2 linked regions of the Neurospora crassa OR74A genome follow. The protein of the gene in region 1 interacts with the protein of each later gene in a biochemical or structural test. Links are inferred from orthologs where the notes say so. Each region holds a gene or a part of one and is shown in the gene's direction. Other genes may lie near its edges. The genes, in order: NCU16757 and NCU08951.

Region 1 (4,322 bases):
AGAGGGGGAACGGCAAGTAATATCTCTGTGGTAAAGTGCCCCTCGCAGAATTAATCAGTGCCCTCCATTTATCCACAGCAGGCCTACTCATGAAACGGGGTCGAGGATGAAGACTCGGCAGAAGCTATCGGCTCCTGGAAGTGAGTACTTAAGCACTCAGCCGAGCATCGTGAACCAAAGTTGTCCATGGCCGAAACAGCTACTCTAATCACAGCCAAGCACCTACCTTCACATCACGATGCTGTCCAGATCTGCCAAAGACACGGTCTGGTTCACCGTTGTCTGCTTCCTTGCACTCATTACTTCTGTTTTCGCGAAATGTACCCGGGAGGGACTGCTAGCAGCAGCCAACAGTTATGTAGACGCCTTCTCCGCCGGCAGACTTGACGGCCTCCAACTCACCTTGAGCAACTTTGCCTACCAGGAAAACAACAAGGCAGCCGACATCAAGCGCGGCATCCTCAGCCAGTCGCACAACATCAGCCTCAACCGATCAACGGCCGACACCATTGCCTGCGCCAGCTACACCATGATCATCTCATTGGCGAGCGGTTCCAACTCCAAGCCCTATGTCACGGCAACCCAGATCCGTCATCCAGCCGATGGAGACACATCAACCATCTCATCTATCGACACCATCGCTGCCACGACGGGGTCCTTGTTCTTCAACGCCCAAAAGACGTTCGGGTACATCCAGAAGGAGAACTGGGGCGTCATTGAGACGGCGGCGAATCGGCCAAGTCGAGAACTGTTGAGAAAGGTCGGGGATGCTTATCTCGACATGTGGACGGATGCAAAGGCGGCTGATAGTATTCCATGGGGGGCCGACTGTGAACGCGTTGAAGGATCGCAGTATACCAGACCGTGTGGTGTTCAGTTACCGAGAGGAGGCAGTTCAAAGCGCAACGGAAATCGGCGATATGTCATCGATGAGGTGATGGGTTCGGTTGACGTGCTGTGCTCGTTTGATGCGCTGGGGAATATGCCGGATAGCCATGAGATCCGGGTCGAGGGCGGTGAGGTCAAGTATGTCCATACGATTACGGTAATTTCAGAGCGTCGTGTAGTGTGATGAGGCGAACAGCTGCTGTACTTGAAGCTGCAAAATGCATCGATGAAGTCGGAAAGTGTTCCCGTCAAACTGTTACAGGGCTGCACAAAGTGATGTCGAAATCCCCACATTCGCGTTTCTTAGGGCCCCGGGCACGGACCCACAGCCCACAGCAGCCACTAACCCTGGTCCATCCACAATTCGCATTGAGCCAATGCGCCGCCAGGAACCGTTTGAAAATGGGACTGGCTTAGGTGGGGTGGTGGACATCTGCAGACGATTGCCGGCCGGGAAAAATTGCTACTCTTTCAGTCTTCCAGGAACACGGAAAAATTTCAATTGTCTGCGCCGGCGAAACGATCATTGTCAACATCTCACTCCGAACCCGACGGTCCTCCAATTCACTGACGCGCGAGGAGACGCAAGACGCACCCTTGCCGTATTCCCATTTCAACAAACAACCCAATCCAACCAACAAATCATGTCTTTCAGAGGTCGTGGAGGAGGTGGTGACCGCGGTGGCCGTGGCGGCTTCAGAGGTACGCCGCATTATTCTTCTATTATCAACCGTTATCGCACACCTTGATGTCGTCGCCTTGGTCGCACTTTGCCGTCAACCATTGGCGCCACTCAGGGCGATTTACCTTTTCACCCATACTTCTTCCCCAATGTTCAATGACAACTAACATAGATATCCTACAACAGGCGGCCGTGGTGGCTTCGGTCAGCGCGACGATGGTCCCCCCGCCCAGGTTCTCGAGCTCGGCACCTTCGAGCACGCCGTCGAGGGCGAGATGTTCTACAAGTCCACCAACCCCAAGATCCCCCATTTCAACGCTCAGGTCTTCCTTGAGAACAAGACCCCCATCGGCAAGATCGATGAGGTTCTCGGTCCTCTCAACCAGGTGCGCACTTCCCTCCGAAACATGAACCATAGCACATCAAATTAACACTCCTCTCCTTCTTTCAGGTTTACTTCACCGTCAAGCCCCAAACCGGCATCGTCGCTACTTCCTTCAAGCCCGGCGACAAGGTCTTCGTCGGCTCCGAGAAGCTCCTCCCTCTCGAGCGTTTCCTCCCCAAGCCCAAGGTTCTCGGCGCCCCCAAGGTGAAGAAGGCTGGCCGTGGTGGTGCTGGTGGTCGTGGCGGTCCCAGAGGCGGTGCCCGCGGTGGCGGCCGTGGCGGCTTCTCCTCTCGCGGCGGCGGCGGTGGCTTCTCTCGCGGTGGTGGTGGTGGCTTCTCCCGCGGCGGCGGTGGTGGTTTCAGCAGGGGCGGCGGTCGCGGTGGCAGCGGCGGCTTCTCGAGGGGTGGTGGTGGCCGTGGTGGCGGCGGTTTCTCCCGCGGTGGCGGCCGCGGTGGTCGTGGTGGCTACTAAGCGGTTGCGAAGGAGTGACGACGACGACGACGACGAAGACACCAACCAGTGGTGCTGCTGCTGGCGCTGCTTGGAAAGGAAAGGGAGCGGAAGAAAGACTTGTTGCTTTACCAGGTTCTTGGGTTTTGTTAAACATGGTCCTCAAAATGGCTATGGCTTGTGGCGTTATGGAAGGGACAAATTCTTTCTGCCGCATCAGGAGGGTTCGGCAAGTTGTGTTTTTATCTCTGTAGGCATCTCTCGGTTTTCTCTGTCTGCTAATTTCGGTTTCTTTGGACTACAACACATCAAACTGAGCGCATCTGGATCTGGCTTCACAAGCCTTCACGTTGACGGTGGATGAAATTGGGGCATTAAAATGTCCTTGGCACAGGCACCAGGTCATGTTCGGACAGACAGCTATGTGTCCGGTCACTTGCGTACAATCAAGGGCAGTACCCAGTTGTATACGTCACCGCCGCCGTCGAATGGGATCCTCAAAGATGCACGACATCCTCCTGAACCTCGGGTTGGACTGGATTTCGGTAGCCTAGCTGGGTAAGCAGAGGCCCCAGTCCAATATGATCGACCATGCAGCAACCACACATCGACCGCATATCGAGCGCCAACCCGTCAGATATAGCACCGACTGAACCCCAAGCATCAACGGCCCGCAACTGACCCCTTCGAACGACGAACCTCTCGCAACCCGAAACCTCTTCTTCGTCTTCACCCACTCCGTCCGAGGTGTTCCTACCCATCATTCTTCCAACGCCGCAACTTCCACAACACCCCTCGCGAAAAAGAATCAAGAATTGTCGAGCCTCTTCGTGCCTATTTCCGCCGACTATGCGCACAACAGGTCACGAGCCGTTACCAATGTACCCAGACAGCAGCGCATGGTTGTCCGCCTCCCCGTCTTTCCGGCATTTTGCCATTGGCTTGAGTGGCTGCTTGGGTCATTATGGCTTGTGACTCTAAAGGGCCCGTGCAGGCTGCGGTCCGTGTGGACTGAGGTTGACCCGTGGTGGTGGACTGTTAGTTCCGGCGCATGTCCTTGTAACCTTGTTCAGCGATAGCCGTATATAGATCAAAACGCAACTCGACCTTCCCCTAACGATGTCAATTGTTGAGGCCCCTTCACTAACTCGTTCCTCCATATCATTACATCATTTGCATGCATAGGTATCATCTCTCCAGGATTGCAATATGGCTGACGACTCTGAGCCTCAGGACAGCAAACTCTCCACAGCCGCAAACATTGTCGGCCTCCTCACTTTCACACTTGCGGCGCTCAATCTGGTGATTGTCCGAGTTCTACAAAACGAAAGAAGCATAGTCAACCAACTCCGGAAAAGGGGGTGGAGGAATTCTCTCAATGCCTTGGAACAAAAGATACGTTACATTCGGCTCTTTAATCCATCTTTCGTGGGCTTTGGAAGAGACCAAATCCATGCCGGCCATGCATCCGGAGAAAGGTCCGACCTGGAAGACAAGCAGCCAGAAGAACGGTTAAGCGAGATTTACAAAGATGTTCAGACTTGTTACGACCAGGGAAAGGTCAACGTCAACGAAACAGAAGCTATTGAGAACCATCTCGCCGAACAGATTAGCCCTGCTGGCTACGCAAGAGCTACGAAACGGTTAATCTCGCACTGGGATGTGGAGGGCTTTTACGAGGCGTCAATGTCGGTCTGGAAACAACTTTACAATCGGAGAGAAGCGCGAGAGGCTGCGGGCAAACTGGAGGAAAATTACCAGGAGTGTAAGTGCACTTGAGTGTTGTCTTTTTGCTCTGGGGAAAAAAGAGAAAGACCAAAATATAAAAGATAACAACAAAAGAGAGAAAAGAATGCCGTCCAAGATTGAAGTTCAGAGTTTATGACTGATACCAAAAAAAATCATCCAGTGTCCTCC
Region 2 (3,824 bases), on another chromosome or scaffold:
GGGTTTTTGACGCTCAGCGCTGGCGATGAACACGGTAAACCTCCTCTTTGCTGCGGCTTTGAGGAGGAATCTCTCGACTGTTGGGGAGGGGAGGTAGGCGAGCACGTAATCGCCGGGGTGAATCTGGATGTCCGCGAAACCCGCAATCTGGTCGTCCGCCTGGCTGATCTCGTCCATAATCTCTTCGATGCCATCGATAACTTCGGACCGTAGGGCATGCATGTTGGCAGATGCGCCCTGGGACATGGGGGTAGATGCGCCGGTAACTGGTGACTGTGCGGTCTCTGAGACGCAGAGAAGGTTGAACATGGACTTGGACATGGGGAGAGTCGCGGCGCGGAGGGGCGTGGGGCCTGGCCTTGTGGAAATGGTGGGCGTTGTGGGCAGCTGGGAGAGGTCGGATACTGAGTCGCCCATCTCGTCGGCATTTCTGTCCTCGGAAGCCTCATCACGAATAAGACCCATTACTCGGCGGACAACGTTGCCGATGACTTGCTCAGTGGGAGCAGCTTGGGCAAGTCTGTGGCCGGTGTTGGAGACCTTTGCGAGCAGCTGATCGACGTTCTGCCACTTAGACTTGGCGACGACCTGGAGCAGCATATGGGCTGTGGCATTGGCGACATCATCGCCCTTGACTTGGCGACGTTTTAGGAGGCTGCCCAACCATGTTAGGATCTGATATAAGATAGATATGAAGCAGGCGTAGGCGTACTAAATAAGAGCCTCGATAGAAGCCTCCAAGGGCTGAGTGTTGAGAGACTTGAGGAGCTTGCCCAACGTGGGGGCATAGCTCATTTGCGACGACGCCATGGCGATGAGCTGTGTATAGTACTCTGTGTGCTACTGAGGTATTGTGGAGGTGATGTCGAAGTGAGAGTGCGACTGTTCCCTGCTCGAGGCTGTATGGTCTTTACGAATGGTACTGGACGGATATCTATGAAATCGATATAGGCGGGGGGGAATGACAAGGCTGCTGGTCGCAAAAAGGTTCTCCAACAATAGCTTCCAGAACTGGGCCAATGTCGCTTGGGATTGTGGACTTTTTGCCAGTGAATTGTCGAGGTGAGTCAATGGCTCACACTGAATGCGCTTGGAGGTAGGTATCACAAGCTCTAGAAATTTAGTGGGGCAGGCAAGCAACCGGCCTTCAAGGACAAAGCACTGCCGCTGTTTGCCAGTTTGCGGCAGGCTAGAAGCAGGCCTTGTTTAAGTTCAAGACTACTACTAATCCCTGTCGTACTGAATGGAAAGCCCCACCAAGCAAAAGGTGGAAGTTTAAGACATTTCCTCTTATCGCGTGCTTATCGGAAAATTGGTCCCTCTTATCGCACCCAATTCCAGGCGCTCACCTGCATTATCGGCCCCCGGGCGGAACGGCTTTACAATTGGCCTACAAATTTTTGGTCGCGTCGCTCTGCTTTGATTGACTGGGTCACTTGATGGACCCAGTAAAATCTGCGTTGAAGAATCCATTTCTGCGATCAACCGCCCCATCACGATACCAAATACCTTGACGCCCCAACCCAGTAACTTTTTTTTCTCTTTACTGCAGTGGTTGTCTGTATAACCATTCTTTAATTCCTGTTTGATACCCCATCCCCCTCCACCACCAACTTTATCTACACACACCCAACCACCACCACCAACAACAACACACACACACATTTAATCCGACAAGATGGGTGCCACCGACAAGATCAAGGAGAAGAAGGACAAGTCCGAGAAGAAGGACAAGAAGGAGAAGAAGATGAGCGAGGAGGCCGGTGTCAAGAAGGAGAAGAAGGACAAGAAGGAGAAGAAGGAGAAGACCGAGAAGCTCGCCAAGGCCGTCGAGGCTCACCTCGAGAAGGAGGGTTCCGTCGACCCTGAGGATGTCGTCAAGACCGCCGAGGACCTCGTCCCCTTTGCCCTTCCCCTCGCCGACGACAAGACCCACAAGAAGATTTACAAGTTGATCAAGAAGGGTACGTTTTGTGACTACTCTCCAATTGCATTGCCAGGCTCCTCAATCGCAGCCCACGCACGACTTGTACTGAACCCAAGCTAACTTTTGATTAAAAAAAACAAACAGGCGCCAAGCTCAAGTCCATCCACCGCGGCGTAAAAGAGTGCGAGAAGGCCATCAAGAAGTGCCCCCTCCGGACCGCCGCCTCCCCTCCCGCCGACGCTCCCGGCCTCGTCATCATCGCCGGCGACATCTCGCCCATGGACGTGATCATGCACTTCCCCATTCTGTGCGAGGAGCACGGCGTTCCCTACCTGTACATTCGCTCGCGCGCCGACCTCGGCGTTGCCGCCTGCACCAAGCGCGCCACCTCGGTGGTGATGCTCAAGCCCGAGGGCAAGAAGTCCTCTGGCAAGGAGGAGGGCGACAAGGTCGACCCTGCCGAGTACCTCGAGGCCTACAAGGAGCTGGTCAAGACGGCGCAAAAACAGTGGAACGTCCAGGTCGAGCCCTGGGTCAAGGGTACTCACCCGCTCCAGATCGAGGCCAAGGTCAAGGGCACTGCCTAAATTGGCGGGAGCAATGACTCGAGCGAAACAAAACACACAAAAGATGAAAGGCTGCAACGACATGATGGCGACAGCGGGAGCACATGAGACCATGACACTATTGCAGGTGCCGGTGTGATTGTGCGTCTGCTTGTTGCAAGAGTGTTCGTGTGCGTACGTGCTTTTTGCTCAGACAATCGGACCGTCTTACCGTTGAGAGAGAAGAAAACAGGCGACCGATCATCTTGGAGATTGGACGCTGGCGGGGAGCGCAAAGACTGTTATTCGATGGACTTTTGCCTGGGCTTGGGGAACAGATGAAGGAGGAACAAGTTTGTGACGCCTTAATCACAACCTCTATCACTCTTTTCTTCCCTCGATGTCGATTTCTGTCTCCGCTTCGGGCTCCTCCCACCTCTCGCTCTCATCACGAAAAGATTGTCGGATATCGGTCATCATCTCTTCCGCATTGACCACATCCGGTCGGCTCCCATGGGCTGGCTTGGTTGTTCTGGGCTTTTATCTAAGCTATAGATAGAGAGCATTGATGGGTTGACGGTTTTAGTCTATCCTGGTTTCGGTTATGGATTTATGGCGCTGGCTACTTGCTGTCATTAAAATATGGAAGGCGTTGCGGGGTAAACACTTGTATTTTGTACGGTATATATGAGAAAGGAATACCAAGTTCATCAGTTCTCATTTTCCAGTTCGTATATGTTCAAGCGTCTTTGGGTCGAATGCCGCGGGCTGTACTTCTGGCCTATGTCACGACACACAACACAACATCGACATGGCCAACTACCATCGCAACACTCAATCAGATGCAAGACAACTCCTGGTCACCAGCAGACAACAAGCACACGAGCCAAATAGTGAGTTATCGCCAGCGTCTTCCATTCATCTCAGGAATGCTGATACTATGCTAATAGCTTGATACAATACAGAGGGTACCAAGAAAAAAAACAGGAAATGCCCAGGAACACGCCCACACTCCAAATTGTAGGTGCGATACTCAAGTTCCCCATTATCATTAACTTCATTAAACCATACCAGAGTTCCTCTTACTCAAAAAAGGACCCTTTACTCGGCACGCCAGCTTGTCCGGCCGAGAGTAGGCGATCCGGAGGTAGCAGAGGCGCTGTTTCAACCATGTCAGCAGACTGTTCCCACAGGATATACCGTAGTAGATAGGTTCTTTTACAATAGGGTGACCCACTACTCAAAAGGGTTGGTGCGCGTTCCCCACCAGGTAAGGAAGACGGAAAGGCCGACAGTCTCAAACAGCTTAGCGAGGACGTTGATGCCGACAGTCTCAAAGGCGCGCTTCTCAA

What was found.
Region 2: the proteins of NCU16757 (region 1) and NCU08951 form a complex in vitro, tested with the Saccharomyces cerevisiae proteins (2 studies listed by BioGRID). The link is inferred for Neurospora crassa OR74A from reciprocal best matches to the Saccharomyces cerevisiae genes GAR1 and NHP2.

Annotation. Positions count from the first base shown.
Region 1 is NC_026504.1:1,399,894-1,404,215, forward strand, and holds NCU16757 (H/ACA ribonucleoprotein complex subunit 1), read left to right. Parts: upstream 1-1,351; 5' UTR 1,352-1,532; coding exon 1,533-1,590; intron 1,591-1,756; coding exon 1,757-1,956; intron 1,957-2,021; coding exon 2,022-2,426; 3' UTR 2,427-3,542; downstream 3,543-4,322. Other genes in the region: NCU16756 (hypothetical protein), read left to right, coding at 239-1,072; NCU07902 (hypothetical protein), read left to right, coding at 3,615-4,170, 4,315-4,322. UniProt on the Saccharomyces cerevisiae protein: Non-catalytic component of the H/ACA small nucleolar ribonucleoprotein (H/ACA snoRNP), which catalyzes pseudouridylation of rRNA and is required for ribosome biogenesis.
Region 2 is NC_026505.1:5,798,296-5,802,119, reverse strand, and holds NCU08951 (ribosome biogenesis protein Nhp2), read left to right. Parts: upstream 1-1,425; 5' UTR 1,426-1,678; coding exon 1,679-1,964; intron 1,965-2,071; coding exon 2,072-2,514; 3' UTR 2,515-3,263; downstream 3,264-3,824. Other genes in the region: NCU08952 (translation regulator GCD7), read right to left, coding at 1-655, 713-810; NCU08949 (hypothetical protein), read right to left, coding at 3,574-3,631, 3,710-3,824. UniProt on the Saccharomyces cerevisiae protein: Non-catalytic component of the H/ACA small nucleolar ribonucleoprotein (H/ACA snoRNP), which catalyzes pseudouridylation of rRNA and is required for ribosome biogenesis.